Nothobranchius furzeri: one gene and its partner. The protein of the gene in region 1 interacts with the protein of each later gene in a biochemical or structural test. Links are inferred from orthologs where the notes say so. Each region holds a gene or a part of one and is shown on either strand. Other genes may lie near its edges.

Evidence for each region.
Region 2: the proteins of multiple PDZ domain protein (region 1) and htr2aa form a complex in vitro, tested with the Homo sapiens proteins (2 studies listed by IntAct, with this or other methods). The link is inferred for Nothobranchius furzeri from reciprocal best matches to the Homo sapiens genes MPDZ and HTR2A.

The regions. Positions count from the first base shown.
Region 1 is NC_091742.1:68,620,630-68,624,283, reverse strand, and holds part of multiple PDZ domain protein, read right to left. Parts: intron 3,561-3,654; coding exon 3,469-3,560; intron 2,966-3,468; coding exon 2,884-2,965; intron 157-2,883; coding exon 67-156; intron 1-66. UniProt on the Homo sapiens protein: Member of the NMDAR signaling complex that may play a role in control of AMPAR potentiation and synaptic plasticity in excitatory synapses. Promotes clustering of HT2RC at the cell surface.
Region 2 is NC_091754.1:35,498,839-35,502,492, forward strand, and holds part of htr2aa (5-hydroxytryptamine receptor 2A), read right to left. Parts: intron 2,418-3,654; coding exon 2,217-2,417; intron 1-2,216. UniProt on the Homo sapiens protein: G-protein coupled receptor for 5-hydroxytryptamine (serotonin).

The sequences.
Region 1 (3,654 bases):
GTCATACTATGTGGCATTTATTTGTGCACCTTCCTCATTCGTGCCACCAGACGTTCTTCCTGTTACCTTTGTTAGGGTGGTGTGTCTCACCTCAACCTTTACCACAGGATGAACATGTTCGGACGCATCACCGTCGTATTCTGCAGCCAGCTGAGGCTGTGAGAGAACAGATGAACATTTAAATAGAGTCAGATCAATGTGTCAGCCTGATATATTTTCTTAAGTGTTCTTAATGTTTATTTAAAAATTAAGTCAGGAATCAACGACATTTACTACAAAATTTCTACCATCTCTTAGTTCAAAGTAAAAAAAAGAATAAACACAGTAGTTCTCTAGGAAAATGAGCCCTATGACCCTGAGATAAATATATCATCAAACTGCACCTTAGTGTCTTAACGAACAACCATTAAATAAACTAAGCAAATAACAAATTATTAAAATGCTTAAAGTATCAGTCTTCCATTATCAGAAGTTCATTATTTTTTATTTTTCTGTGTTTTAAGAACAGCTAGCTGTGTGGTACTGTCACCTGTCTTAACCTCTGAGGACCAATGTCCACATATGGGGATGCTGACTGCTTGCAATTAAATATTTTATAATGCCGGTTTTTATTGCCAAGTTTTAATTAATCTTTTTTACCTTATTTAAGTTCAAATAAATTTAGAACAAAAAAATTTTTTTAAACTCATTATTTATTTAGTTATTATATCCTAACAAACCATTTCCGAGTTAATTGAAAATCTATTCATTTTAGTCCTTTGTTAAAGTTAAAGTCCCAATAGTTGTCACACACACTTATGTGTGTGCGACATTTGTTCTCCGCATTTGACCCATCCCCTGGGGGAGCGGTGAGCTGCAGAAACAGCCGCGCTCGGGAACCATTTGGTGGTTTAACCCCCAATCCAACCCATTAATCCTGAGTGTCAAGCAGGGAGGCATTAGGTCGCATTGTTTCAAAGTCTTTGGTAAGACCCGACCAGGAATCGAACCCTGATCTCCCAGTCTCAGGGAGGACACTCTACCACTAGGCCACTGAGCTTTGACAGCCCAAACTATGTACTGGCAGCTTAGAGCCGTACAAACATCAGAAATCGGTATTGGCTCTCAACACCAGAATTGGTGCATCTATAAAACTACCTTGTGCTTTTTAATTTAAAGGGACTTTTCGGAGTTTTGAATTTTTATGCTCGCGATTGCCCCCTCAGGCCAAAAGCTTAATGGCAGCTTCAATAGTAGGCTCGTGCACGAGGCGTGCATGCTGTACGTGTACACTCCTTAATGAAAATAACAGCTGAGACAGTCCCGTGTGTGTGTGTGTGGCCCGGAGGACAGAAGAACACAGGAAATTAATAAAAATAATGTCCCTCTGTCTCTGCAGCTGCACTTTCTCGTCAGCCGGCCGAACGTGCAGTGTGTGTGTGTGTGTGTGTGTGGCCTGGAGGACAGAGGACAGGAGAACGTGCAGCTAATTAATTAAATAATTTGGTTCTGTACCTTTCTCTTCAGCACAGCCGACAAAGGTTTATGATGGGTCAGTCCTCCTGCATGCTCAGATCATTCCCTTCCCTTGCTTGAAAAATTGTTCCAAAATGAAAGTTGAACCCACATCTTTTTTACCTGTGAATTCAACGCCGTTCGGCAAGTCTCAAATAAAAATCTGGGTGTCTTATTACTGTAAAACAAATTATCACTAATGTAAAAAAGAAACTCTTTATTCACACCCAGAATTTAACCCAGGTCTCCTACATGAGAGTCAGACGTCTCACTAAGTGAGCTAAAGTGCCAGTGACATTCTTTGTATCTGTAACGTTTATACCCTTGATGACAGCTGAAACAACGTCAATCCAAAGAACGGTCCGGAGCGAAAATGGCTATTTTGTTGCTAATTTGCAGGAAAAATCTAGAAGAAAGTAGCTAATGGTCCTCAGAAATGTAGCTAGGTTCATCACTTGTCGCTGTGTTGGCACTACCTCACTCTCTGCTGCTAAAGCGACGGATAGCAAATGCTACGGGCGATGCCTGTGCGTGAACGCGCATGAAGCAGCCTGCTCGACCCGAGCAGCTCTCTTTTTCTGTGATTTTACGGAAAAACAGGCAATCACAGTAAAAATGCCAGGGCTCATTCTACAGGACCAGGGCCTTGCAGGAGAATGTATGAAGAAGAAATTTATTATTTCTATACATGTTTTGGCTGTCAAACTTCCATAATGCCCCTTTAAAGTAGAATTTTTTAAAACAAGCAAAAATAAAACACAAACAATTAGCCCATCAGTAAAACTAATATTTTAAAACCTTTTGGTTAAAACCCAAGTTATTAGTTGCATCTGGCACTAAAACCTACTGGTATTATTATTCATTCTGTGGCAGAAACTTCATGAATATTTGCAACAATTGGAATGGAAAACTGCTAAAATTATCATTGTCTTTTATCAGCTTAAATGTTAAAATGACTCATTTTTGCTCATAAGTACAAGGAGCAATTTCAACTGAGCCAAAGAACCATGAGTGGCGTCAGAGCCACAGGATGCAGACCATTTCAGTAGGTCATTAGGAGTCTATTTTTATAAGATGGAGGTAAAAAAAAAAAAAAGAATATGAAGTAGCTGCGTTAATTTAAAAAGAAATCAGCACATCAGTCTCATTAAAATCCACACTGGTCCACCTCGGCATTATGAGTTTTCCAAACTACAGTTTGAGGTTTTCTGGGTGTTTAGGGAGTTCCCTCGACCACACAGGGGGATAAACACAGAAGTCAGATGCATGACGCAGAGTAAAAGCCTAATTATTGTACAAGAAGACCAGAAGTAAAGTGAAGTCAAGCGTCACTTTCTACCAGCTGCACGATGGGAGTGTGTTGGGAGTTCTTGTGTTTTATGATCGCACCTCAGCAGCGTGGGGCTCCTCTGCGCCTCCCTCGTGCTCTCTCACAGGTCCCACAGCCATCTGGTTCAGTGCCTCCGTGTTCCTGTTCCACAGAGTCATAACTCACGTAAACCACTGCTCCTCTGCTCCGGGACAGAGGGAATGGTAATATACGCAGGCTGCTCTGTGTCTGTTTCAGCAGGGGGGGGGGGGGGGGGGGGGGGGGGTCAGGACTGGGATGTGAGTTAAGTAGGGGGGTTAAGTAGTTGGATCCTGGATAAGACTAAAACTAGGGTCAGAGGTCAAACATGTCCCTGGTGATGATGAGGCTGAGAGTCCGTCTCTGTTTCAGGCAGCAGAGCAATTATAGGTAGTAAAACTCATCTTTGATCACAAAAAAGCTGCTTTTTAATCATTCTGTGAACAACTAGTTAAAACATACCAATAATAATTACTATTATGTTTAACTAGCAGACAACTAAAATTATATTGTTGCTATACATTTTTAAAAATGTTGTGCAACACTGAGCAAATCTGTAGAATAACAATAGCTTCCTCTGGTGGACATTTAGAAGAATTACACCAAATACAACCGTTTTTTTTTACCTGATAAAGATGATTTTGACTTTGGATGAGGAACTCTTGATAATAGACGACGCATTCTGATGGCTGTGGCCATAAAGAACGTGTCCGTTGATCTAACAGGACAGAGATGAGTGGTTAGGAGAGTGGTGGAGAAAAAGGGCTGTGCAAAAGTTACAAAGCCTCTTGTAATCCCTTAAAGTGGTGCTG
Region 2 (3,654 bases), on another chromosome or scaffold:
GCACGCTGCCATCTTATATTAACTGAGCAGGGAGTGAGGTGGTGGGGGCTTCAAGCTGATTTAGCCTTGGTCCCCAAATGCCTTGATACAGCTCTGGATGTGGGACTGACTTTTGAGGGTGTTCTGATTCTATCACATGTCGTCGTCTTCCTCCGCTTATCCGGGTCCGGGTCGCGGGGGCAGCATCCCAACTAGGGAGCTCCAGACCGTCCTCTCCCCGACCACCTCCACCAGCTCCTCCGGCAGGACCCCAAGGCGTTCCCAGACCAGATTGGAGATGTAACCTCTCCAACGTGTCCTGGGTCGACCCGGGGGCCTCCTGCCGGCAGGACATGCCCGAAACACCTCCCCAGGGAGGCGTCCAGGAGACATCCTGACCAGATGCCCAAACCACCTCAACTGACTCCTTTCGATCCGGAGGAGCAGCGGTTCTACTCCGAGTCCCTCCCGAATGTCCGAGCTCCTCACCCTATCTCTAAGGCTGAGCCCGGCCACCCTACGGAGGAAACTCATTTCGGCCGCTTGTATCCGCGATCTCGTTCTTTCGGTCATTACCCAAAGCTCATGACCATAGGTGAGGATTGGGACGTAGATCAACCGGTAAATCGAGAGCCTGGCTTTCTGGCTCAGCTCCCTCCACCACGACAGATCGGCTCAGCGTCCGCATCACTGCAGACGCCGAACCAATCCGCCTGTCGATCTCCCGATCCCTCCTACCCTCACTCGTGAACAAGACCCCGAGATACTTAAACCCCTTCACTTGAGGTAGGACCTCTGTCCCGACCCGGAGTTGGCAAGCCACCCTTTTCCGGTCGGGAACCATGGCCTCAGATTTGGAGGTGCTGATCCTCCTCTATCACATGTATAAATATTAAATGCTTATATATTATTGCTTTTCACTGGTAAAAATGTGCATTGGGGATAAATCTACCTATTCTTTTTTTCTTTTCAAGTACTTTTCTTTTCTTGATTTAATTTGAATAATTTCCTGCCCTCTCCCTCTAACCTTCCTGCATGCTGCATCTTTTCTCAGTCTTCCAGAAAAACGGTTTCCTAGACTTCCTACTTTCTAACTAATCAGCCAAAGGGACCTTAACATGCGCTGCGCTCCAGCAGCAATGAGTTGAAATCACCGGGATACAGATTATGAACTCAGCTGAGGCAAAGCACGTCAGAAAAGTACAGAAAGTACCAGAGAATATGCGCCGATATGAACGATCGCAAGTGAATTATTTTGTTTTAGTGGAGTGATTTTGTGAATGTAACATAAGGTCAGTCATAAATGACGTCATATATGCAGATACTGGATCTTTTTTTCAGGCTTCCGGCAATTTGAATTTTTAAGGAACACATCTTGATTCTGGGTTTAAAAATGCATTGTAATTACCGCATTACTGACAATTGTACCGAGTAAATATTACCATTTTCTTTCCCTGTAATGCCTTACATTACCACATTACAGCAAAAAGCAATGCATTACAGTAATTAATTACTTTTGTATTGCATTACTCCCAACACTGCCAGCTGATAATATGTTTATTTGGCCTACATTTAGCTTTTCCTGCTGTAAAAGAAAACTATTTTTGCATGAATGTGTATGTAACTAGTCCAGAACACTGTGAACTTACTATACTGTGTAAAAAGATGTTTGACTTTAAAATTGATCTAATTAGAGGAAAACATGGAGTGGAAACCAGTCAGAATGTTGCCAAATGAATATCTGTTGAACAGAATATCTAAGTCAAAGGTAGAACTATATAAAAAAAAACTAACAAAAAAAAGACAAAATCTGAAATAGAAAATTAGATTCTAAGTAATAATGTCCAACATAAATGTAAAATGACAGTGAAACAAGTTAGTCTAATATTTGTGACATTAATGACATAAATCTCTCACTTCTTATAACTCTCACAAAGTGTTTTTAAGTAGCACAACTTGTATTGAGCATTCAACAAAAGTGAATATATTGTTAAAACGAAAAACATTTAGTGTTTTATGGAGTTTTGGGGGAGGGGGGGGGGGACACACATTTATGTCAGAGGGGGACATGTCCCCCCCCCCCCCCAGGGTTTTTGCCTATGATTACCCCACATGTCTTGTAATAAAACATTAGCTTCATACTCACGTGCCTGTACATAAAGGCTTGCAGACATGTTTCTGTTTATGTTTGTGACACTGAAGAATTTGCCGACACAGACATTTCTTGGCGTGCTTACCCACTGAGATGGTCCACACTGCCATGATCTTGACCCGAGCCTTGGTGTGTGAATTGAAGCGGCTGTGGTGGATCGGGTTCCGTATGGCGATGTATCGGTCCAGAGAAATTGCACAGAGATGCATGATGGATGCTGTGGAGAAAAGAACGTCCAGGTAGATCCAGATGGGGCAGAGGTCGGAGGGAAGGGGCCACTTGTAATCTGCAAAGAGCAGGAAATGGTTAAGAAGAGACCAACACTTGTGCAATACAAGTTTGATTGAATAAATAATTGTTGTGATCGGTTCATGTTTCTGGTTCTTGAACCTATCATGGTTCCATGTGTGCTCTACTGAACTCTCCAGCCTAATTCCCTTCTGATTAGCGTTGTCTTACCTTGTCTGCTAGTAGCTGGTCTTCTGATAAGATTCAGTATTTTACTTGCATGCTAAGTGTGTTTTTACTGTACTACAACTTGTCTGTTGGTCCTTGTTTTAAAGCCACTTCTTGTTGCCTATGTGTGGCAGCACTTTGCTGCAGATTCAGTCAGCAAACTCTCCACGCAGGCTGGCTGTAAATCCAGCTGCTGGCTTTAAACCGTCTTATTAAAACAAAAATATTGAGGGAGGTTTGTTTTCACATCAGCACTGCACTCAGGTCAGTGCAGCCTCACAATACTGATAAACAGCTTGATTTTCAGCTGATCTCTGACCAGATTGAAAGCTAATGAAGGGTCAGAAAAATGTTTGTTTGAGTTTTTGTCACTGGTTCCTGATTGTACTTGTGTCAACATTCAAATATGTCCACGTCTGTGGGGTTATAGTTTTCAAAGACGTGCAGCTCATTGTTTGCTTTTAAAAAGCTAATTCCACAGCGACCACGCAGTGATGGATGGAATGACTCATTCACATGGAACCAAGCTGGAGCTGATGAATCCTGCTCCTAACTACAAACACACACAGCCAGGTAAAGCCACTGCCATGTGAACAGCTGGTGCATGAGCCTTAACTGCACACACACACACACACACACACACACACACACACACACACACACACACACACACACACACACACACACACACACACACACACACACACAGTCGATGTAATGCTGCTGTAGAAACTGCCACTAAATATAGTCATGCAAATTGGTCTGGAACCCACCCAGCAGCTGGGGGAAATATAATACAATCTAGTGAATATTAATGAAATGGAGCAGCTTTTCATGTTCCATACATCAAGGTGAGTTTATTTTTAGAGGCCAATTCCTGAGAGGCTGTATGACACCGGCTCTGAACACTGACCAATAACAACACAGGGGAATGAGATAATAAGGAGCAAAGTGCAGAGAAAGAAGAGTTAATTGTTTTTCTAAGATATTGATTTAAGCAAGTTAAAGGGTAATAGCTGCACAAGGAAACGAACACAGCTGGATGGGTGTGTGTATAAAACTAGGAA